Linked DNA regions of Coturnix japonica. The protein of the gene in region 1 interacts with the protein of each later gene in a pairwise test. Links are inferred from orthologs where the notes say so. Each region holds a gene or a part of one and is shown in the gene's direction. Other genes may lie near its edges.

The links.
Region 2: the proteins of HOMER3 (region 1) and SNRPF interact in binary tests that used the Homo sapiens proteins (3 or more experiments, as listed by UniProt). The two-hybrid records come from large-scale screens. The link is inferred for Coturnix japonica from reciprocal best matches to the Homo sapiens genes HOMER3 and SNRPF.
Region 3: the proteins of HOMER3 (region 1) and WIPF1 interact in binary tests that used the Homo sapiens proteins (3 or more experiments, as listed by UniProt). The two-hybrid records come from large-scale screens. The link is inferred for Coturnix japonica from reciprocal best matches to the Homo sapiens genes HOMER3 and WIPF1.
Region 4: the proteins of HOMER3 (region 1) and FRYL interact in binary tests that used the Homo sapiens proteins (3 or more experiments, as listed by UniProt). The two-hybrid records come from large-scale screens. The link is inferred for Coturnix japonica from reciprocal best matches to the Homo sapiens genes HOMER3 and FRYL.
Region 5: the proteins of HOMER3 (region 1) and EIF3D interact in binary tests that used the Homo sapiens proteins (3 or more experiments, as listed by UniProt). The two-hybrid records come from large-scale screens. The link is inferred for Coturnix japonica from reciprocal best matches to the Homo sapiens genes HOMER3 and EIF3D.
Region 6: the proteins of HOMER3 (region 1) and PSMA1 interact in binary tests that used the Homo sapiens proteins (3 or more experiments, as listed by UniProt). The two-hybrid records come from large-scale screens. The link is inferred for Coturnix japonica from reciprocal best matches to the Homo sapiens genes HOMER3 and PSMA1.
Region 7: the proteins of HOMER3 (region 1) and PAX6 interact in binary tests that used the Homo sapiens proteins (3 or more experiments, as listed by UniProt). The link is inferred for Coturnix japonica from reciprocal best matches to the Homo sapiens genes HOMER3 and PAX6.

The regions. Positions count from the first base shown.
Region 1 is NC_029543.1:2,761,741-2,764,269, forward strand, and holds part of HOMER3 (homer protein homolog 3), read left to right. Parts: intron 1-46; coding exon 47-235; 3' UTR 236-2,529. UniProt on the Homo sapiens protein: Postsynaptic density scaffolding protein. Binds and cross-links cytoplasmic regions of GRM1, GRM5, ITPR1, DNM3, RYR1, RYR2, SHANK1 and SHANK3.
Region 2 is NC_029516.1:41,569,987-41,573,029, forward strand, and holds SNRPF (small nuclear ribonucleoprotein F), read left to right. Parts: upstream 1-1,410; 5' UTR 1,411-1,564; coding exon 1,565-1,567; intron 1,568-1,651; coding exon 1,652-1,777; intron 1,778-1,878; coding exon 1,879-1,943; intron 1,944-2,417; coding exon 2,418-2,484; 3' UTR 2,485-2,543; downstream 2,544-3,043. UniProt on the Homo sapiens protein: Plays a role in pre-mRNA splicing as a core component of the spliceosomal U1, U2, U4 and U5 small nuclear ribonucleoproteins (snRNPs), the building blocks of the spliceosome.
Region 3 is NC_029522.1:15,023,208-15,026,707, forward strand, and holds part of WIPF1 (WAS/WASL-interacting protein family member 1), read left to right. Parts: intron 1-546; coding exon 547-723; intron 724-1,901; coding exon 1,902-2,663; intron 2,664-3,500. UniProt on the Homo sapiens protein: Plays a role in the reorganization of the actin cytoskeleton. Contributes with NCK1 and GRB2 in the recruitment and activation of WASL.
Region 4 is NC_029519.1:59,904,090-59,907,589, forward strand, and holds part of FRYL (protein furry homolog-like), read left to right. Parts: intron 1-389; coding exon 390-575; intron 576-1,898; coding exon 1,899-2,103; intron 2,104-2,272; exon of another isoform or gene 2,273-2,323; intron 2,324-2,977; coding exon 2,978-3,099; intron 3,100-3,500. UniProt on the Homo sapiens protein: Plays a key role in maintaining the integrity of polarized cell extensions during morphogenesis, regulates the actin cytoskeleton and plays a key role in patterning sensory neuron dendritic fields by promoting avoidance between homologous dendrites as well as by limiting dendritic branching.
Region 5 is NC_029516.1:47,223,708-47,227,693, forward strand, and holds the start of EIF3D (eukaryotic translation initiation factor 3 subunit D), read left to right. Parts: upstream 1-1,186; 5' UTR 1,187-1,304; intron 1,305-1,529; 5' UTR 1,530-1,540; coding exon 1,541-1,663; intron 1,664-2,746; coding exon 2,747-2,792; intron 2,793-3,182; coding exon 3,183-3,319; intron 3,320-3,421; coding exon 3,422-3,507; intron 3,508-3,966; coding exon 3,967-3,986. UniProt on the Homo sapiens protein: mRNA cap-binding component of the eukaryotic translation initiation factor 3 (eIF-3) complex, a complex required for several steps in the initiation of protein synthesis of a specialized repertoire of mRNAs.
Region 6 is NC_029520.1:14,583,674-14,586,873, reverse strand, and holds part of PSMA1 (proteasome subunit alpha type-1), read left to right. Parts: intron 1-79; coding exon 80-181; intron 182-1,041; coding exon 1,042-1,145; intron 1,146-1,964; coding exon 1,965-2,053; intron 2,054-2,707; coding exon 2,708-2,778; intron 2,779-3,000; coding exon 3,001-3,130; intron 3,131-3,200. UniProt on the Homo sapiens protein: Component of the 20S core proteasome complex involved in the proteolytic degradation of most intracellular proteins. This complex plays numerous essential roles within the cell by associating with different regulatory particles.
Region 7 is NC_029520.1:4,663,366-4,666,865, forward strand, and holds part of PAX6 (paired box protein Pax-6), read left to right. Parts: intron 1-670; coding exon 671-753; intron 754-993; coding exon 994-1,144; intron 1,145-1,264; coding exon 1,265-1,380; intron 1,381-2,321; coding exon 2,322-2,472; intron 2,473-3,086; coding exon 3,087-3,172; 3' UTR 3,173-3,500. UniProt on the Homo sapiens protein: Transcription factor with important functions in the development of the eye, nose, central nervous system and pancreas. Required for the differentiation of pancreatic islet alpha cells.

The DNA.
Region 1 (2,529 bases):
ATCAGTGCCGGGGCAGCCACCTCACTGCAATTGTGTCCTTTGGCAGGAGCTGGAGGCACGCAATGCAGAGCTGGAGCGCCGCCTTCACCTGGCCGAGCAGACGCTGGCAGAGACCCTGTCTGAGAGGGAGAAGATCCAGAATGAGGTCACCAAGGTGGCAGAGATAATGGACGTGAAGATTTTTGAGCTCAGTGAGATCCGGCAAGGACTAGCCAAGCTGGTGGAGAGCAACTGAGCAGCAGCATGCTCAGAGGAGACACCTCCGGAGGAGGGGAGCCTGACCTGGGACTGGTCACTGACAGCAATTTTGATCACAGAACAGCCTTGAGGTCTGTTTGGGCAGGATATGCCAACGTACCAGCAGCTGCCTGGACAGTGTGGTGACCAGCCGCAGCCACTTACTGCCCACTGAACAACGAGCTGGAGAGCAGAGAGGGCCTGAGCTCCTGTATCCTCCACAGGAAGCATCTACAAGTCACAGTCAGGCTTCTCTGGACCTTGTCATGGCTGTGGCACGGTCCAGAGACAGCAGCTGTCCCTCTGCTGCCTTCCCAGCCTCCCTGCTGCCACACTGTGTCTCACTGTGTCTCCAACATTTTTACAGTTTTCTAGGGGAAGGGGCTGAGCAGCCTTTGCATTTATTTTTTTTTTTTCAGTAGTTTTTTTAGGGAACCACTTGCCTTTTGCAAAATAAGCTGCTTGTTTCCCGACTTAGGGAGGGAAAAGAGGTATCAGCACTTTGAGGAGTTCACTAGCTCCTTTTCCAGCCCTAACTACATCATGTCTTTCTAACAGGATGCAACAACACTGGTTGCTGTCAGGAGCTTACAGAGGTAGCGGAGTCACCACTGCAGAGCAGGGTGCTTGCCTGCCCAAGTGCTGTTCAGTTCCAGCCTCCAGAGGAAAAAGAACTGCAGGTTTTAAAGCTCTTATTAGCTTAACACAGTGGGATTTAATGAATTCTTAAAACTTCTTTAAGCTGAGAGCAAAGGCCTGGTTGGGAAAGGGGCATTTGAGAAATGGGACATGCCCAAGGGGATGGCCAACCAACTGCTAGATTGGCATCTCTCCTGGCCTCTAAGGGCTGTAGTTAATTGAAATTAAATGGAGCAAATCACAGTTGCTCTTGTTTGGGTTCTTTTTTTCCCCCTCTCTTTTATAGGGAAACAGTCCACAGAGATGTCCTGCTCTGTGTCAGATGAGCAGTGTTCCTTTTGAAGGGTACAGGTCCCAGCTTGCCACGCTTAGCCAGATTAAATGAGAACAGGAGGCATTTGGAGCATGCTGGGACCAGTGCCCTGTGGGGCCTGTGGGAAGTCTGTGGGTTACCGTAGATGTTGTCTAGTTGTAGGAATCAAGCAAGGCCTGAGGGAGACACTGCAGAAACCTGAAAAATCATGTCTCTCTCATAGTGTCCTTTGAGCCCCCGTAGTTAGTTAGGAGCATGCATAGCCCTGTGCTGAATGACAAAGCAGTGTCTGTGTAGAAGTAGATAGTAACCTTACAGGAGTGCTGATATGGATTTTGTGGTTGTTTTTTTGCCCTCTTTGCTTCCATAGGTTAAGCAAAGACAGCAGTAACCCTGGGAATGTTTCCCAGGTCTGCAGAAACTGTAATTACTTAGCAAGCACTGGCTGCCATGTAATGCCTTCTCTGCATCCAGATGGTCCTGGGCAGACCAGCATCAAGGCAGGGCCTCCCCGTCCTTTCACTCACGGGGTGACCAAGAGAGGAACCCACATCTTCTGCACACTGCCTGCAAGTTGGGACAGGACTGGGTCTGGCACCTTGGGAATCTGCTGGAGTGGAGAATTGCTGGTGACTCTGTGCTGGATTGTGTCTAGGCAAAGCCCATCCCTTGCACAGGGATGATGAGGAAACACTGAAAGTTCCAGACCTGTGTAGCCAGGGAGGGGTGTTTCTGTTTGGAGGATAATTTTCTTGTTTTTGTTTTTTTCTTTCTTTTCTTTTTTTCTTTTTAATATTCTGTTGTTTTTGTTGGTATTGGTTTCTGTTTTATTTTGTTTTGCATGAAGTTTTCTCACAGCTGTGTAGGGGTGGAGCTGTTGTAGTCATATTTGTTTCAGGGTATTTAAGAAGGGAAAGAAGCTGGCAAAGTTTTCTGGGGTCTTGTACCCATAGCAGTGTTCACATTTTATTCCAACAGGAGGAGCCTTTGAAATAGAGATCAGCTCCAAGAAATGCCTGTTTTGTCTGCATCTGTTACTGTAATATGTGGTGATGGAGGTGGGGTTTGGAGTATGAAAGAAAAACTAAGCCAAAGTTGACATTCTGATTGTCCCTGCTCTCTCACACTTCTTTTCCATGGCTGTGCCCCACAAGGTGGAGCTGGATACAGATTCTGCCCGTGCTCTGCATCTGAGCCCATGCCTGTGTTGTACTGCTCATTGATCAGGGCTGACCTGGCCATTGTGCCACACCTGGGTGAGTCAGCTCTGCTGAGGGAGGCTGCTCTTAAGAGACAAGGGAGAGGACCAGAGTCAAGCTGCTGCATGACTGTGTGGGAGA
Region 2 (3,043 bases), on another chromosome or scaffold:
TGGGTCACTACTCTCTGTGTGAGAAACTTTCTTCTAATATCTGACCCAAACCTCCCCATCTCAATTTAAAACCATTCCCCCTTGTCCTACAACCATCCACCCTCATAAACAGTTGTTTCCCTTCCTATTTCTACCCTCCCTTCAAATACTGGAAGGCGACAATGAGTTCTCCCCGGAGCCTTTTCTTCTCCAAGCTAAACAAGCCCAATTCCCCCAACCTTTCTTCATAGGAGAGGTGCTCCACCCCTATGATCATCTTAGTGACCCTCTTATGGACCCATTCCAAGAGTTCCACAGCTTTCTTGTGATGACGGCTCCAGGTCTGGGCACAGTACTGCAGATGGGGCATCACAAGAGCTGAGCAGAGGGGGACGATCACCTCCCTCTCCCTGATGGCCACCCCTTTTTAATGCAGCCCAGCACACCATTGGCCTTCCAGGCTGCAAGCACACACTGCTGGTTCACATCCAGCTTCTCATCCACCAGGACCCCCAAGTCCTTCTCCAAGTCATGCATCAGAGGAACTGACTATATGAAGAAAAGAATGTAGCTGGTCCTGTACTTCTTGGTACACAGCTTTCCCAACACAAGTAGGAGACATGATAAAAGTTGGTTCCAAACCTAAAAAGTGCTGTTTACAGACAAAACACTCATATTGTTCTATTGTCATTCACATATACACCATTAACAACTGTCAGAAAAGTGCAAGTCTTCCATGGCCTTTAACCCAAAGGACTCATGCTGAGCTCATTGCATTCTGACGCCTTGTATGTTTTCACTCCAAGTTCTCTATTCTTTGCTGCAAGGGGCATGAAAACCGTCCATATACACGATTTCCCACATTGTTTATTATTTCCTACATATCCTCAGCACTAACTTCCTTGCAATAAACTTATAAGCAATTCTCTTTCAACTGGCGCCCAGTGAGTTTTACTGTCAGAAAGAAAAAAAAAAGCTTTATTTTAACGTTATCTCTGTTCCCCAGCCAACACATGAGGACAAACACATCCATTATAAATTATCACAGAAACAAATACGAGTGCACTTCAGATAAACATTTATTAAGAAGAATCGTAATTGCTGCTCTTATCCTATCCATCCATAAAGGTAGGGATGTGAGGGGGGACATTCTGGATCTGCAGAAGACACGGTGTGAGGCAGCCGGGGGCTGAGGGAGAGGTGGACAGGGAAGGGGAGGAGAGGGATGGAGGGGCAAAGGCCTAACAGAGCAGAGCGGCGGCACAGTGCTGCGCTGCCACCCCCCGGCCACCACAGACGACACAACCAGAGGTGGTATACGACCATTGGCTGGAGCAATGAGGAGGGCGGCCATTCCAACTAATAAGATTGAGCCCACAACCCCTTTTCCCTTCGCGCTCCGTGGCTCCGTAGCCAATCGCGAAGGCGGCGCGGCGGGGTGAGAGGTTGGAGGTCGGCGCGGCGGCACGGAAGTGGAAGTGGAAGGTATCTCAGCGCTGCCTTCCATTCTGCCTCAGCCCGCGGCGCGCACGAGGCGATCCCGCCTGGCTCTGCGCTTCTCGGGCCGCCATCGCGCCCCATCGCCATGGTGAGGGCAGGGCAGGGCAGGGTGGGGGGAGGCTGTCGTTAGCGGTTGGGATGGCGGGCGGTGCTGACCATTGCTCTCCCCTAGAGCCTGCCGCTCAACCCGAAGCCCTTCCTCAACGGGCTGACGGGGAAACCGGTGATGGTGAAGCTGAAGTGGGGGATGGAGTACAAGGGATACCTCGTCTCCGTCGACGGCTACATGAACATGCAGGTGAGGGATGGAGGGAGGGACCCGGGCCTTGCTTGCTTGTGGGAGGGAAGCAGTAGTGAGGCTCCTGTTGGTGTAATGTTTGTGCTGATTTTCGTTCCAAGCTTGCAAACACAGAAGAGTACATCGATGGAGCACTGTCTGGACACCTGGGAGAAGTTTTGATAAGGTAATCGTGGTGCCTGAGCTGGGGAACGGGGTCTTGTGGGGACTTCTGTGTCTTGTGTTACTGCTTTGTTGAAGCTGGTGGATCTAGGGGATGTGCTTGTGTTTTAAGTTGAAAGAGGGAAGATTTAGGTTGGATGTTAGGGGAAAGTTCTTTACTAGAAGAGTGGTTAGGTCCTGGAACAGGCTGCCCAGTGAGGTTGTGGATGCCCCGTCCTTGGAGGTGTTCAAGACCAGGTTGGACGGGGCCCTGGGCAACCTGATCTAGTAAATGTGTATGTTTGGTGGCCCTGCCAGACAGGGGGGTTGGAACTACATGATCCTTGAGGTCCCTTCCAACCTGGGTAATTCTGTGATTCTGTGTGATTCTGTGTATTGGAGCACTAAATGCTGCTGTAACTCCCATGTGAAGTGAACATTGTATTTGCGAGGGAAATTAAGACATTTCAACTAAGGGAGCTCTTGATTCTATTTACAGGTGCAATAATGTTTTGTACATCAGAGGTGTGGAAGAAGAGGAAGAAGATGGAGAAATGAGAGAATGATGATTTGTATATCTGGAAATAAAGGGTTTTTTTTCTTTTTTTTTTTTTCTTTTCCACAACGTTGTCATCAGGTGTTTATTTTGTTCTTGTATTTGACTATGGGGGGAGTTCACCCAGAGGCTATAAAGAGTCATGAATTTCAGTGGCATTCATAGAGCTAAAACAGCCTGTGGAATGGGAATGCCTGATCTCAATCTGCAGTATTATGGAAAGAACACACAAAACACTAACAACAGGCCACTCTTTGTTATCAGGCATCCAGATAACTGAAGTTTTGGCAGGAACATAATTGCTTTCTCAAATGTTAAGAGCAACCATTGACATTAACCGAAGCTGTTCTGTACCTATCAGCATTTCCTAAAGGTAACCATTGCTTTGCTGATGCTGCTAGTCAGAGCCTCCCCTTGTGAAGGATCTACTTGCATCTCTAGGCTGGAGAGAGGTTCTACAAGCCAAAACACAAATGGCTGTACCTCATGGATTTGTGTGTGACTTTGCGCTGTCTCATCAGTGACCATTTGTCTTACATCTATTCTCAAATACACAGGTATACTTTCAG
Region 3 (3,500 bases), on another chromosome or scaffold:
CTTTATGTTGGGAAAAAAAAAAAAAAAATGGCAGCTAATGATCATCTCTCTGCATTTGTGAGCATAGAGGAAGGTCATCAGTAATTAAATCTCTTCCATGCACTCATCAGAGGTGCCCCCAAGGGAAAGAACACCTCTATCTTCCTCCCTCATTCTTCATTTTCCTTATTTACTGTCCTTCGCTTGGCTTATGGAGTAATGAAGGTGAAGGATAAGAGAGCAATAGTATGAAGAAATGGAAAGCAGCTACACAGATGTTAACAAAGACAACATGATATTCTCAGAGGTTCCATCCATTTTTCAGTTCCAAATTCTCCAGAGTGACTGTTTCTCTGCTTTCCAGTCCTGAGCAGCCAAAAGGAAAGTGATGGCTTAATAAAATTCAATAGCTGTGTTTATTGCTCCACCTCTTCCATGGCACAATAGTGGTAGTGGTGGCTGTGACCTTTTTTCTCCACTTACAAAAGTTGCTGTAATGAAAGAGAATACTTCGTAGGATCAGCCTCGCTTCTCTGCATAACATGGTTTTGTTTTTTTTTCCAACAGAACCCAAGGGAAGCGGTGGAAGTGGCGGTGGCTTTGGAGGAGGTGGCGGTGGCAGCGGTGGGGGTTTTGGTGCTGGTAGCGGTGGTGGTGGCTTCAGTGGTGGTGGACCACCTGGTCTTGGAGGACTTTTTCAAGCAGGAATGCCAAAGCTCAGATCTGCTGCGAGTCGAGATGCTGGTAAGAAAGATCTTGCAATTTCAGTGCAAACAAGTAAATGACACATTACTTATATTAATTACATACCACAACAATAAATTACCTGCTGGGATTGAGAATGCCTTCAGATATCTTAGGCTATCAAGAAATGAAATTTTCATCTTGAATCTTGTTTCATTCTTAATACTAGGTTTTATGAAGAGGAAGTGAGACCCCCACTTTCCACTCCTCCTAATTATTGATGAAAACTAAAGATCTTGGCAGTGTTGAGTGGCTGCCTGTGAAGTAGGATGAGGTCCTGCCTTAGCTGTGGGTGTGCAGGACCAGAGAGGAGCACAAGAGGAATATGGATTATTTCTTCCTTCTGTACCAGGAAAAAGATCAACTTTCCATTTGGAAAGTACATCTGCGTCAGCTCCTCAGGAGTGTGATTTACCACTTAGGGAGTGCATGAGGCATCCCAGCTGGATGCTGCGCGTGCTGCAGTTGGAGGGCACACACTGCGTTCTTCTAGCTGGCAAAACAGCTGCCCCTTCAAACAAAGGAGATCAGGATGTAGCATTTCACACTTGTTGAAGGAGGACTGGACAACAGGGGTCATAAAATATTACAAATCCTGCATATTTTATGGACTAACGTAATTTTTCAGCACATTTGTACAAAACAGTCTCTCGGAGCTGGTATTTTCTATTGTGTCATGGTCTATTTTGGGAACTTGTATTAATGCAAAAGTTCCTGGCACAACGGGACAGTGTTTCTTCAACTGCAAGGCTGGCTGCCTTCTTGCTGACATACACAAGAACACAAGTAGTTCACAGATACTAGAAAGGGCTGCAAAGCCCTTTTGCTGGACAGTTGTTGTTGTTAAATGCCATTTCAAAGCTACAGCTCTTCTTGTTTTTGGGTTTCTGGTATCAAATAGTTGCTCATAACCAGTTCTTCTCTTCCTTCCTGACATTATTGCTTGCTCTGTGAAGGCTGTATACTCATGTTGCCTTGCAGTCACTTGGGTCCCCCACAGGCCATTCCTCATGAGCTGGCAAAACTTAACTACTGTGATGCAGATCCCAAGTAACACTGAGATTGCTGCTGACTGTTCCTGTGGAGCATCCCCAAACACTTGGGCAGCTGTGTTGCTGTGTGAGGAAAGTCCTCTCCATGGGTGCTGATGCCCTCTGTCTGTCTCTCTTCCTGCACAGATGCTGGGACAGCCCGCCCACCTGCACTGCCACCTGGAGCCCGCTCTGCTGCTGCCAAGCCATTCTCAGCACCAAGTGGCCCACCTCGCTTCCCAGGGCCGCCACTGGGGCAGCGGAACCCAGCTGCTGACCCTCAGAGGAGCCGCCTGCCGCCACCCAGGCCTGACGTGGGTTCTAAACCTGAAGCCACACCACCACCAGTGCCCAGCACACCCCGGCCCATTGCCTCCAGTCTGCACGGACGGAATTCAGCACCAGTTCTCAACCGTCAGCCCAGCTTGGGGCCAACACCACCACCATTCCCAGGCAGCCGGGGCACAGGGTCAGCTGGCTCCCTGCGGCAGTCTGGCCCAGGCCCAGCAGCCCCCTACTCGGGCAGACCACCACTGCCACCCACACCCGGTCGCTCACCGTTGGATGAGAAACCACCACCACCACCACCTCCTTCCGGGCACCGACCAACTTCCAGCCGGGACATGGCCCTGCCGCCGCCACCACCGCAGAACAACAAGCCACCTGTACCCGCTTCACCGCGGCCACCCCTTGGTGTCCCTGCTCCCCCGCCACCCCCCAGCAGGCCAGGACCACCCCCTGTGCCCCCTGGTCCTGCCAGCAGTGATGAAATGCCACGACTGCCCCAGAGGAACCTGTCCCTGGTGCCCCCTGCTGCACCCAGCTCTGGGGGTGGCCGCTCCGGCCCCCTGCCACCGCCACCCAGCGAGAGGCCCCCACCGCCCATCAGGGATCCTCCCAGCCGAGCAGGTACGGGGTTGGGGAATGGGGCTGTTGGGTACAAGGGATCCTGCAGTTGAAAAATGAGGGCTTGTGGGCACCACTGTGACTCAAGGAACATTACTGTGCATTCCCAGCTAACTCACAGATCTGGGCAGGTTTTGTGTAGTTGCTGTAACAAAAACAGGGCTGCCCACCAGGTTCTGTACTGACAGGGACCTTTTCTACCCAGCTCCTGTCAGGTGACAACATTCACCTTCCTGAGTCATCCAGCGTGCGTTAATGGCAGTGTTGTCATGAGTGGAAAGCCTGGCCTTCTACGTGTTGGAAGGCACAAACACAGCAAAATACTAATTACTTTAATAGAAGGCTGATCTGACAGTTGTTATACAGGAGGCAGTTGCTGCAGTGTGACTAACCATCATTACCTGCTAGACACAGATTCCAAATGAGACTGAAAATAGCGTTGCCTCCATCAGGTTGTTTCATCACATGTTTTGTCCTCTGACAATCACTGTTTGTAACTTTTAAGAGTTGCACCTCATGACTCTCAGTGCCTGATGGCTTTCTTTGTGGAGCTGGAGGAGCTGAGGTGCAAATGGTCCCCATGACACAATGAAGTTGCACCTCAGTGCACTTGCAGAGGCTGGCACATGGCTGCCTGGCTGCAGGAGTCATCTCACGTTTGTTGGGGGGCACAGAGCAGTGCTACAGAGTACTGCTAAGACTGTTTAGAACTTCTGTGACTGCCTCTGCTCCCACAGGAGGTTCCTGGTCAGCTCTTCTCTGATGCAGATTTTAGTAAATGCACACTACCTTCCTGCTGACTCAATGAGCAGAAAGAAGCTGGAGATATAAATTATAAAT
Region 4 (3,500 bases), on another chromosome or scaffold:
TTCACCTTTCCCTTTGCCTTCTTGTAGAAGACAAAGTGAAATTCTGCTTATTTTTTCCTTCTGTTTCCTTTCTGTAATTTTCATACAGAGAGCATATTAATTTCTGACTGCTGTGTAAGAAATGAGGATATATTCGTGTTTGTTAAACTGTGTGCTTTGTTTTTATATTTGAACACTGAAAAAAACATCTATGTATGGGAGAAATAGCTTCTGTATCTAGCAGGAATCATGTGTGCAGTTAATTATTTCCCTATGTGTCAATCTGATAAAGTATAACAATTGGAAGATGTGCTATTTTTGTAATAATCAAATGTGTTCTCTTGTTCTCTGCATTTAATACAACTTTTTTTGGTTTTGGTTTTGTTTTTGTTTTTTTTAATCTGTGTTAGGTTTTGACCACTGTCACCCTGAAGTTTATGAGCATTGTAAACGACTGCTTTTGCATCTGCTGATAGTGATGGGATCCGGCAGTAATGTCCAATCTGTTGCTTCTGTCCTACTCAGAAACAGAGAGTTCAATGAATCCAGGATGCTTACTGTCAAGCAAACTACACACTTAGATTATACTTTTACAGGTATGCTTTTGGACTTCTTAAAATGGCAGAAGTTTAATTCTAGGCTTTATCTCTTTTACTTTACTATTTTTCAGAGCCCTTGTTAGCAAAGTACATTTTATTTCAGCTCCGCTTAGCTGGCTAAAAAGTATTTTAAGACCGAATGAGTAATGTTCACATTCACACTTTGTGCCCCGTTGTCAGAGTAGTGAGCTCAGTTGAGCAATTAATTAATAATTAAAAAAAAAACAGAGGAAATTCTATGCTTTGGGTCTGTAACAGCACAGTTTTTAAGTTGTTTATAAAATAATTAAAAAACAAAAAACAAAACTAAACAGGAAAAAGCATCTCTTTCTTGGGCATAAGAACTTTGAACTGTTGACTTCAGTCTTTTGTGCTTGTTTAATAACCTAGCACAGTATTCTTGTGAGGTCTACTTAAGCATCACAATATCATTATGCAATAAATAATATGGGTTTTTTTGTGTAACTGTGAAAATAATAGGTGTAAGCCTAATGTATTTTCTAAAGAAAAGAGTATTTCATATGAATTCAGTAGGTGGCAGCACATTGCTATAAAATCTGCTGGTTCCATTCTGAAATCAGAAGTGGTTTTGTTTGTGACCAAAAATAGGCATCTGTTTTCTGCATCTGATAATTCACAGTTACGGGGAATTAAAAAGTGGGCACACTCAGGGAATTATTTTATATAAACCTGTTCACAGGTGTTTGTCTGTGGGTTTCAAGTTTATTGCAGTCAGAGATTCATGACTGTCTTCTTTTGTCAGTTTGCTTTCTCCTAGCAGCTTGTCAATGTAGGCATAATGCGAGGAGATGGTACAGTTCTCTTTCATGGCTGTGTGGTTCTTTTCATGGAGAACAGGAACTGTATTAAGCTAACTTCAGAAGCTGTGCAGCTAGAAAGGCCCTACTTGGAACTGATTCACTAGTTAAAACTTCTTGTTTGCTGACTTAAAGTGCTGGTAGTTACAGTAGGACTGAGTTTTAATCAAAAAAGAAAAGATCTGCGTGTTATTTGTAAGCAGTTTGGATCACTTGTCTCAACTTCCTCTATGATGAGGTGCTTCAGAGGCTGTTGAGCTGTAGTTTCACTGTATTAACAATACAAAAATCAAACAGCGTCCAGTGATTCAAAAGGGAGAATCTAACTGTTCCTTATTAAGGGTTCAGTCATGCTCAGGCTTTGATTTCATTTGAAATTATTGCATCCATGAAATTATTCTCATTATATTTGTTAATTTACTAATTTTTAGAGGGCTCATTTTTCATTTTATTTATTTAGTATTGAACTGTTGAACTGATAATGGTCTCATTTTTATTTCAGCAGGTGTTCATGATTTTATACCTGATTACCAGCCCTCCCCAATGACTGACTCAGGGCTTAGTTCAAGTTCTACCTCTTCTAGCATCAGTTTAGGAAATACGAGTGCTGCCATGTCTCATATGCACACCACCATCCTCAATGAGGTTGACATTTCAGTAGAGCAGGATGAAAAAGTAAAAACTCTCATAGAATTCATTACCTCAAGGTAAGATATTCATTTCCATTTTTGTTTAGAGAAATGTTGTATCAGTATGAAAATCAAATCTGACCCTGAAGTGTTTCTATGTGGTGTAGTGTGTGAACAACCCTACATCTCCAATTATCTAAATGAATTTGGCCCCTTTTCTTGTCCTGAGTGTTTAAAAGTCTTTTACCATGTTCAGCATAGGTTCACTGTCATTGCCTTCCTCATAGTTTCTTCCAACCTAGAGAAAAAATACAGAAAATTATTAGAAAGCTGCAAGATTTGTGGGAAGGTTATGGATTGACTTACAGAAAACAGCTGGGAACATGTGCGGGGGGGGGAAGACATTAGTGGCAAATAACATCTGTAGAAAAAAAAAAGCAGCACTTGTTTAGTTTATATGATAGCGTATATAAAGCTTTCAAAATCATCTAAGTCTGAAACCCAGCTTGCTTAATCAGAAGTTAAGAGAAACTTGCCAACAACAGAAACAAGATTTTCATGGCCATGAAGTTAGAATAGTGTGGTTTATTGCTGGGAAGAAAAAGGTATGAAAGAATGTGGTTTTAACAGTTATATAATAGTGGTAGCAGTAACTGGCTTTTTGTTAGGTAACTAAATATCACCTAATGGAGAGCATCTCTTTAGATTTACATTGTTCAGTTACAATTGATCCATTGCTTTTCACTGTTTTCCTACTTTTCTGTGTGTTGTTGTAGAGATATTAAGCTGTTGTCAAAGTTCTTTGATTTGTGTCTGTAATTCTGAGTGGCTTTGTTTATGTGATAGGCAGTAGATTATTTTGCAGTTACTTAAGGCAAAAATAACATTTAATACCAGTGACAAAGGCCATGGTTTTCATTCTGTCACATTTGCTCTGTTTTTATGTTTTTAGGAAAAGAGGGCCACTTTGGAATCATGAAGATGTTTCGGCTAAGAACCCCAATATAAAGAGTGCTGAACAGTTAACTGTATTTTTAAAGCATGTGGTATCTATATTTAAACAGTCTAGCTCAGGTAAGCTAGAAAACAGTCAAAATATGATAGAATGTTCAAATCTGCAAACAGCATGATTTTTTTTCAGCGCCAGCAAGTTCGCAGATGCTCTATAAAATGACTTTATGATGGCCTCCTGCTTCTAAAAAGTGCTGATTTTTCTTGTGCATCACACGTTTCAGTTCATGCTTCTGTTGAATTGGATTTAAATATGATGTTTTAGGAAAGAGATAAATATCTTACTAGTTGTGGGCATGACATTCAAATCATTAGTGTTTCATTATCAGCAAGTCTCTCAATCTGGAAAGATTTTTCCAATGAGTTTTCCTTGAGGAAGAATGTAGGAGACGAGAATATTTTGAAGTTAAGAATAAATTCAACAGTTTTACTGTTTATTAAAATCGGGTATTTTTGTGGGATTT
Region 5 (3,986 bases), on another chromosome or scaffold:
CAAGGCTGGATTTTTCTTGCAGCTGAAGTTTCTCCTCTTGATAAGAAACCGGTAGGTTATGATGTGCCTAAAAGAGCATTTGTTCTCTGATGGCCATTCCCTGTGCTTGCTTTCCCCTCTGAGACACACTAATACCCAGCTCCATTCCCAGACGAGGCAGCCTGAGGGGCTGGGCCCGAAGTGCCAGCACTCTTCAGCAGGCAGCAGCAGCGCTACACTTGCCTTTCAGCACCTCACACAGGACTGTAAGGGAACAGGCAAGCAGGGGGAATGCAGAGTCTAGGTTTATCAGTCTAGTTGTTTTCTCTTTCTTCATTCCGTTTGCTCTTTGGGACTTCCTTTTACGTTTCCTAAGCATGACTTGAACGTGGCTATGCTCAGGTTGAGTCTGTGATATCCAGGGCTGTTCCAGCACTGACGTTTGTCACCACAAAGGCTGTTTGCCTGTGAGAGTTACAAATGGTATTTTATAAACCGTGTTTCTGTAAGTGGATTTCTCTTTTTGCTAGCGGGGAAAACTGCTTTAATAATCCGACTTCTGATTAATGGCGCAGCCTCCTGGCAAAGCAGACTGCTTCGGTTATTTCTCGAGGAGGGTTTAAACGCAGTAAATAAAGGAGGAAATGCACGGTGCTCTGCCTGCAAAATATTGATCTAGACTCAGATGGTGCAAGATACCCAGGGACGTTCTGCAAACAGGTTGTGGTGAGGTGGGGGTCGGCCTCTGCTCACAGGTAACAGTTATAGGGTGAGAGGGAATGGCCTCAGGGGAGGGTCAGGTTGGATATGAGGAAAGATTGAGATATGAGGAAGGTGCTGCAGTGGCACAGGCTGCCCAGGCAGGTGGTGCAGTCACCGTCCCTGGAGGTGTTCAGAGCCGTGTGGATGTGGCACTGAGGGACGTGGTCATGGGGATGGTGGGGATGGGCTGATGGTTGGACCGGGTGATCCTAGAGGTCTTTTCCAGCCTTAATGATCCTATGTAAGGCACGCGACGAACCCACCCTGCCCCCTCCCTACCCCCCGGGTAAGTAAAAGCCGTGGTGACGTCACACCCCACCACGTACAGCCCGATGCCGGCGGTGACGTCACGGGGCGCATTGCGCCTAACGGGAGATCCGCGCTTTACGGCAGTCGCGCTCCGCCCCCTCGCTCTCTCTCTTTTACGACGGTGGTGCGCGGCGGCGCCGTCGCGCAGTGCTGACGCAATAAGGGCGGGACGGGGCTGCGCGCGGCCTTTCCTCGCCGGCCGTCGCCGCCGCTGTCGTATCCGTCGCCATCGGGGCCGTAACGCGGCCGCTCAGGTGAGGGGACGCCGCGGCCGCCCCGTCACGCTCCGCCGTCCTACCGGGACCGGCCCGCGGGCAGCGCGACCCCCGGCCCCGCCCAGGCGTTACCGCCGGTTCCGGTGGGGCCGGGCCGGCGCCCCCGCCTTCCTGCGCCCGCTCCGGGCTCCCTCGGTGCCCCTTCCCCTCACGGTGGCGCCGACGGGGCGGGTGCTGAAGGAACGTTCCGCTTGTTCCCCGCAGGGCTGTGAGCCATGGCGAAGTTCGTGACCCCCGTGATCCAGGACAACCCCTCGGGTTGGGGCCCGTGCGCCGTGCCCGAGCAGTTCAAGGATATGCCCTACCAGCCCTTCAGCAAGGGGGACCGCCTGGGCAAGGTACTGCGCTGTGTGGCTGCTGGGTGCACCCCTGTGCCTCTGCTGAGCTACCAGAGTGGGGAGCTGGGTTAGACGTTGGGAGGGGTCTCTTTTTTTGCTCGGCAGAGAAAGACCTGGGGGTCTTGGTGTGCGAAAGACTCAACATGAGCCAGCAGTGCGCTCTGGCAGCCCGGAAAGCAAATGGATCCTGGGCTCCATCAGGAGAGGTGGTCAGCAGGATAGGGAGATCGTCCTCTCTACTCTGCTTTGTGAGCCCATCTGGATACTGTGTCCAGGTGTGGAGCCCTCAGTACAAAAAACATGGAATTTTGGAAAGGGTCCAGAGGAGGCCACGAAGATGATCAGGGGCTGGAGCACTCCCCTATGAGGAACAGCTGAGGGAGTTGGTGTTCGCCTAGAGAAGAGAAGGTTGCGGGTGACCTCATTGCAGCCTTTCAGTACTGAAGGAACTACTCCCAGGAGGGAGTAAACTCTTCAAAAGGCTGATAATAGCAGGACTAGGGGAAATGGTTTTAAGTTGAAGGAGGGAAGATTAGGTTGGATTTTAGGGGAATCTTCACTAGGAAAGTGGTTAGGCCCTGGACACGGCTGCCCAGGGAGTTGTGAATGCCCGTCCTTGAGGTGTTCAGACCAGGTTGGACGGGCCCGCAACCTGATCTAGTAAGGTGTATGTTTGGCGCCTGCCAGGCAGGTTGGAACTACATGATCCTTGAGGTCCCTTCCAACCCGGGTCATTCTGTGATTCTTTGTTTAGAGGACGCTGAGGCGCTGGCACAGACTGCCCAGAGAGCTGTGGTGCCCATACACCTGCAGCTTAAAGCCGGTGAATGAGCTGGTGGGGGGCAGGATTTAGATATTCTTTAAGATTCCTTCCAACCTGAGCCATTCTGAGATATGACATTATATGGTTCTCCAGCACCTTGACAGTTGTGAGCATTCTGTGAGGCTTGCTTATGGAGGTGGGAGTTGAGGTGCATACAGCAGTCCCTTATTTTGCCTTTTGAGGCCCTACTGGGGGGGGGGACGACACACACATCATATTAACACTTGCTTTTTTTTTTTACTGTATATTTTTGTCCTTAGGTGGCAGATTGGACAGGAGCCACGTATCAGGATAAGAGATACACAAGTACGTGTTGTCCAATGGCTGTTCCTGCTATTTATTTTGTGCAAAGCTTACTTCAAACGTCATCCCTGCTTTCGTGTTTCCCACTGGCTCTACCGGCTACATACACACCTCAGCAGAGGAGGCTCTTTAATTTCAGAAGCGTGTCTCACCGCTTGGAGAGCTGCGTGGGGCTCTCCCTGCCCTTAGGGTTCCCTTGTGGGTTTGTTCCATGTGCTGACTGGTGCTTCTCTGGGAGGTTCAGAGCAGGGAGGCAATGTGACAGTCTAATGCAGGAGTCCTAGTTGATGCATTAGACTTGAGTAAAGGCTACTGAGGAAAACTGGGGGGGCGGGTGGAGTGTCATATTTTTGCTTCCAAGCTTCATAGCAAAATGATTTATTTTATTTCCAGACAAGTACTCATCACAGTTTGGTGGTGGAAGTCAATATGCGTATTTCCATGAGGAGGATGAGACCAGCTTCCAGTTGGTGGATACAGCCCGGACACAGAAAACTGCATACCAGAGGAATCGCATGCGATTTGCACAGGTAAAGCTTTACTTTCAGAAACAGGCTCAAAAAAAGAGATTGAGCAATACAGAATTACTTTGCCACTAATCTGTCCTTTTATTCTTTGCTGCATTCCCACAGAGGAACCTTCGGAGAGACAAGGACCGCCGGAACATGCTGCAGTTCAGCATGCAGACGCTGCCAAAGAGTGCCAAGCAGAAAGAGAGGTGCGGGCTTCACATACAAGCATTCTGTACTTGGAGTGTGTGAACATACTGTTAACGAGTAATTTAAGTTACTGTAACAGAACCCACCAAAGTTCCTAGCAAAGCATTTCAGGGTATTTTAATGTTTGCTGATGCGCCCAGTAGTTACAAGCATGGATTTCAGGCAGCTATTTAAGAATCTAGGAGATGTTTTGAGTCAAGTTTAGGAGGTAAGTGTGACAACTTAAAGCAGGATGTGCTCTTCCTGGAAACTGTGTTGTGGTCATTAAGGATAAAAACATATAAAGGGTGTTCAGAGTGCAGAACAAAGCTCTTAACACTTCAGTTGTTTGGATAGCCAAATTCTCAGCCTGCAAACGTTGTTCCTCTGGTGATTATTTGGAAGTGTGGGAGTCGTGGCAGGGAGCTTCTTGTGTTGAGAACTTGTTGTAATGGCTTTTCACCTATTTGTCATTGTAGGGATCGTTTGCGCCTCCAAA
Region 6 (3,200 bases), on another chromosome or scaffold:
AAGTCTGTAAATGAAAAGCTGTTAAAATTAATCACCTGTACTATTTTTCAGAATGACTACCTTTGATTTTATTCTGTAGGGGCGAATTCATCAAATAGAATATGCCATGGAAGCTGTGAAGCAAGGCTCAGCCACTGTGGGGCTGAAGTCAAAAACACATGCTGTTCTGGTTGCTCTAAAGGTAAGGTTAAAACTCTGTTCTGCAAACACCAGTGTTAGTGGAGAAGTTTTAGTCTGGCAAATTAGTTCAGCAAAGTCCTGAACTTTTATCTGTGCATAAAATAAATGCAGTATCAGTTTCCTTTTCCATTAGTGTCAGTAAAGAAATATAAGCATTTTCAGTACCCATGCTAAGCAGATTTTCTCAAAATGGGTGAAGGAAAGGAGTGAAAGATTTTCACTTTAAAAGATAGAGTTGTTGTGTTTTTTTGTTATAAAGCAGTATATGGGAAATCACAGCTTGAACCACTGATTAATCAGCTGAGGCAAGTGTTGGGTCAGCTGCGGGAGCACAGGTGAGCGTAATGTAGCTGTACTCCTGGAAGGGGTGGACTTTGACTCCACCTCCTCTGAGACCTCATTTAAGGGCTGACCACCACTGAGGAGCATCTCTTGGAGATCGCTCCCCAGTGGAGACTGCCTCAGCTATCTGGTCCAGGCATTGACATTGGTGAGTTTTCTTTACTGATAACCTTTGGCTATTTATCACCATCTTGGTCAATATATTTATATTAGCCACCTTTAAATCATCCTCTGTTACCACCTTTACAAGCAGCAAAACTACTCACTTCCTTTTCCAAACCTTGGAAACCTTGGGCATCTGATCATTGTTCCTGACAGTCTCTCACTGAAGTGGAATTATTTTTTTTCTTGTCTTCTGTTGCAAGTTTACAGATCGTTCTTTGTTTGTTTGTTGTCTATTGCTGATGTTTTGACTGTTTTGTGATCATATTCGGTTCTTGCAATAAATGTTAGCAGATTGCTCCACAGTGCTTGGCAAAGTGGTCAGTCTGCCACATAGTTCTCTCCTTTTGTGTGTAGCGAGCGCAGTCTGAGCTGGCAGCTCATCAGAAGAAAATCCTGTATGTTGACAACCATATCGGTATCTCAATTGCTGGACTTACAGCTGATGCAAGACTCTTGTGGTGAGTATCTTAGCTGTTGACACACACGGTTCTGCAAGAAGTGAAAGTTCACATGTAGACTACTGCAAACAAAATTTTGTGTTCATCTAAAGTTTGGCCTTGGTCTGTTGTGCTTTGCCAAAGACCTCAATATGAAATTTTGGAAGGAATTTAAGTTGCTGGCAGAAAACTCCTTTGTTTGGCCCCGAAATTCGCTCTTTGCTTTTGTTACTTGTGAGACCGTAACTGTCTGGTTTCCTTGGTGTGGTGGGGCTTTCAAGCAGTCTGGACAAGTGCATTACCTATTTCCCTCTAGTAGCTGCTTCTGTTATGAAAAACACACTGCTGAACGTACCAGCTTCAGGCAGATTTCCCTTTTACCTGCAGACCACACATGGCTTGATCAAAGAAGGTAATATATACTAAAAAGAAGATGATTCCCTGGTTATGCAGGAAAACACAAAGATGGAATAGGAAGAATTTTTAAAGTAAAATTTAATAAGTAGAATTTTTGAAGTAAAATTTATTTGCTGTAAGATGACAAAGATACGTTACTGTTTAACTGTGGGTTTTTTCCCAGAGACTTAACATGTGGCCTGGTACACTTCCACCTTCCCTTGGCTGGTATGGGTGAAATGCTCTGAGACTCTTTCAAGCCTGTCGTCAGCCTCCTAAATAACAGTTATAAGTCACAATGAAATGAAATTGTGTAATGCCCTCGGCTGCTTTTCTCAACAAGCGGAGCTGGAACAAGAATACACTTAACAGGCAAATACCGAGGAAAACTCAGTGTGGCTTTTGTCTATACACTGATTTGATTTTTCTTCCTTTTCCTTCTAGCAATTTTATGCGTCAGGAGTGTCTGGATTCTAGATTTGTGTTTGATAGACCTCTTCCAGTATCTCGTTTGGTGTCACTAATTGGAAGCAGTATCCTTTAAAATATATATTATATATATCATAATTTAAAAGTAATGCTAAACTGAAAAAGTTAATTAAAGAGGTGATTTTTCTTCATTCACATTGTGTGTTAATTCTTTCAGAGGACATCCCAGAACTCCGTACTGGTATAAAGGCAGTAAAATGCTATGAACCATTTCACTCACTGCTGGTTTTTTGTTACATAGCACCATGTTTTTGGAGGTGGAAATATGACTGCACTGCACAAAACATGATCATTTGCTGGACTGCAGCTGCTTGCTTACTTTTTTTTTTTGTGGTAATTAATGTTCTCTGTGCTTGGAGCACAGAGGAGGCCTTGTGTTCTGTTATCAGGTGCCTAGGTAAAGTTAAAGGGCTAAGAAATTAAATGAGGCTGCATTAACTGAACTGTTTGTATTACTTGGTTGAATGCACTGCTCAGTTCTTCTGGGAAAGCCAGCTCCTAAATGTTTTGGTGAAAAAGAGCCAGCTCTGGTGTTCCAAATAAGTCCCGAGGACTATTTCTTCAAACACGGCCTTTGATAGCACAGAAAGCTTTGTAAAGGCTACGCAACAATTTTGGAGTGTTTGCGCATTGCTCAGGAAAATGTTTTCAGTGTGATTAACACGTGCCTTTGAGATTGCTTCTTTAGCTTACTTTAGAAACGCAGATACCAACGCAGCGCTATGGCAGAAGACCATATGGTGTAGGACTGCTCATTGCAGGTTATGATGTAAGTAAAAACTGTTCTTTACAAACACTGCGTTTGTTTTTATTTTTTTTTTAACAATAGCTTTGCAAGAGCTGGATAGGAATGGTGGTATAGTAAGCAATGTAGGATGCTTACTTGCATGCATATAAACTATGTAATGTATTATGAGCAAAACTGTTTTAGAAAATATCGTGTGTTCCTACAGGAGTTTACGTGTTTGTTTTATGTTTTTTCTTCCTGTAGGATATGGGCCCTCACATCTTCCAGACTTGTCCCTCAGCAAACTATTTTGACTGTAAAGCCATGTCCATTGGTGCTCGTTCGCAGTCAGCACGAACTTACTTGGAAAGACACATGACTGAATTTACTGACTGTGAGTAATGAACTTGGCTATCTAATGATCTTTATCAATTACACAGCTTATTTTCTGCCTCTGTTCCATT
Region 7 (3,500 bases), on another chromosome or scaffold:
GCAAGAGACACCCTGGCTACATTAGGAGCTGAGCAGATTCCTGGCATTCACGTGCCTTATAGAGATACCGACAGCTCTGAGGCCCCTGGCTCCTTCCATGCCATTTCATTCCGACCCCCATCGATGGCTGCGGAGAACAGAAAGGGCAGCGCAGGGCTCAGTGCAGTGCTGCACTCCTGGCTGACCTCCTCCTGCTGGGTGGTGGTGGGGCAGGGAACTGAGTACCAGCATAGCAGGGTACTGGATGCTGGTAGGACAAGGCACTGGGTACAGGTAGGACTGGGTGCTGAGTGCCAGCACCATGCTTGCTCCCCATCCCCAGTGCTGCTGCTGCCCAAGGCTGGCAGCCAGTGCCCTTTTCCCCAGCCGTGGCCGGCTCACTGCCCAGATTTCCTGCCATCATGCAGCCACGTGCCACTCGGCTTCTTGGTCATGGGGTCAGGGTACCATGGGAGCTCCTCACAGGGGTAAGAATATCATGCTCAGCCCCAGCCCTGCCATGGCCCACAACCTGGGGTCCTTCCCAGCACACATTTATTCAGGGAGCTCAGCGCTGCCTCACAGCACTGATTCTTGCAGGCACAGTCGGTGCGGCTGTGCCACAGGGCTGGACTTGACCATCAGCCACACTTGTTCTCTACAACTCACATGGCAATACTTCTCCTTGCAGAGTTTGAGAGGACCCACTATCCCGATGTGTTTGCGAGAGAGCGACTAGCTGCTAAAATAGACTTGCCTGAAGCAAGGATACAGGTACAGAGATGCCACATTGTTACCACTGTTATCATTCTTCCTTTTACCAGCGTAATTTGTTATGAGTGGCTTCCTGAAGCCAGGTGTTAGGCTGGGTGTTTGCCCATCTCCTCCATCAGGAAGTAGCAGCAGATGGGGTTGGCTTTGCTGTGCTGTGGGGCAGCTCTGTGCTGGGTGCCCTGGGGAGCCACATGCCCTCGCCCCACCGGGCCACTCACGCCTCAAACGCTGTGCTTCCAGGTGTGGTTTTCTAACAGAAGGGCCAAGTGGAGAAGGGAGGAGAAGCTGCGGAATCAGCGGAGACAAGCCAGCAACACTCCCAGCCACATCCCCATCAGCAGTAGTTTCAGCACAAGCGTTTACCAGCCGATCCCACAGCCGACCACCCCCGGTAATGCAGCCAACCCGCCCGCGTGAAGCCATCCTCGGGACACCGAGACCGTGGGACTGTGCCACCGAGCGCAATTGTGGTTAAACTAATGTCTCCATCTATCTGTCTATTCTATTATAGTTTCCTCTTTCACATCAGGTTCCATGTTGGGCAGGACAGACACGGCGCTCACAAACACGTACAGCGCGCTGCCGCCCATGCCCAGTTTCACCATGGCCAACAACCTGCCTATGCAAGTAAGCACAGCATTGCAGAAAGGGCATGGTGCTCGGATGAGCGCTGCTCTGGGATTTCAGAAGGGAAGGGTCCTCAAAACGGTTGATGGTTGGATGGCTTGAGGGTTGGACTAGATGGTCTTAGTGGTCTCTTCCAACCTTACAATTGTGAGGCAGCAGGTCCGGTGTGAGGAACCCCATTTCAGATAAGAATGCCCACCCTGAGATTAAGGCATGGCAACGGGGCTGTGTGCTGTCGGAGTGCTGTTGGAGTGCTCCGCTGCAGGAGGGAAGCGCGTGAGGGACACCTGAGTGAGGGGAGGGTGCGATTAGCATCAGTGGTTCTGCCAGCTAAGCCAGAATTGCAAGAGCTGTCAATCCTCATGCCTGAAAGCATTAGCTGATCACCAGCTGGGTGAGGAAGAAATCTATTCCTTTGGGGTCCGTTTCTATAGACCTTTCAGATGCAAAATTCCTCCTTTTTTAATGGTGGGGTTGGCCTAGGAAGGTGCTGGCCAATTACGGGAGCTGTGCAGCTTTGTCTGAGGCATGCAGCATTGACCACTGCTGGAGACGGGCGAGCCGATTAGAGAGCCTGACTCCTTCGCCGCGGCAATTACCATGTTACTAATTGCTGAACCAAAATTAACCAAATAAAGTTAGAGTCTCTCAAGTTCAGGGAAAGGAATTGCGCCGGTTAAGCCCTTATTTCACGATATTGGAGGCGGGCAGCGCAGCCGACAAAGGATCAAAGAGGGCTGTAGGCAGGGCTGTGGCCCTGCTGGGCCTTCCCTGCTCCCGTGGCTGCCTGACAGCCACCTCTGGGTGGAGGTGTGGTGTGAGCAGGTCTCTGTGGCCGTGTTGTGCCACTGGCACCTTTGGGTGGAGGGGATGTGTGCGGGTATGCCAAGACGCTGAGCCCCAGGGCTGTCCCCACACCTAACGTTGCTCTATCTTTGCAGCCCCCGGTACCCAGCCAGACCTCCTCCTACTCTTGCATGCTGCCCACCAGCCCGTCAGTGAACGGCCGGAGCTATGACACCTACACCCCTCCGCACATGCAGACACACATGAATAGCCAGCCCATGGGCACCTCTGGCACCACTTCCACAGGTGAGCAAGCGGGCTCAGCTGGGGAGGGGGTGGGAGGCACTGGGTTAATGAGGCCATGCCCACAGCTGGGTGGGGTGAGGCTTCTGAGGGAGCTCACTAGCCTTTTGCAGACCTCGTTGTGGCTGAGCACAGCAGCATTCACTGTGGTGCTAGGCACTGGCACAGCCATGCTTGCTGCAAAGTGAAGTGTGCACGGGGCTGAGCATGTCACTGCTGCGTCTACACCAAAGGATGCTGCTTGCCAGGGCTCTGTTATCTAAGAGGCAGGTAACTCTGGGAGCACTGACCCGTGCTAATAAGGCACAACAGGGTAAAAGGTTGTCAGTATCACCGGGAGCAACAGAGGGACATTTAAAAAAATAGGAATGTTCAGTGTATTTTAGGCTGAGTTCCCAGTGGATAGCATAGAGCTGGGGCTCTGCCACTTACCTCAAATATGACAGTTTATTCATAACAGCTCGAATATATGCACATAGGCTTTGAAAGCGTATCCTCCCCCAGCCCATTCCTGCAGGCTGGTGGATACAAGGCATCATACGAAACTGAAATGGGTGAGCAAATATTGTGCTATCTATAGAAAAGCTAAAATATCCATTTTCCCACTCAATTTTCAGGTCTCATTTCCCCTGGAGTGTCAGTTCCAGTTCAAGTTCCTGGCAGTGAACCTGATATGTCTCAGTACTGGCCAAGATTACAGTAAAACATGTGTTAATTCTGTAAATGACTATATGGACAACAGTTGGATGTTCAGCAGTATTTTCTAAAGGAAGAATGGCTCTCAGAGTACTTCTGTACTGCAACTGTGCCCTACGATGTAACACATGGAAAAGACTCTAACATGGACCTTTGTACACTGAAGGCATTATATCGGTTGGAACAAATCTTCATTTTGGTATCCAAACTTTTATTCATTTTGGTGTATTATTTGTAAATGGGCATTTGTATGTTATAATGAAAACAAAACAAAACAAAAAAAAGAACAATGTAGACTGGATGGATGTTTGATCTGTGTTGGTCATGAAGTTGTT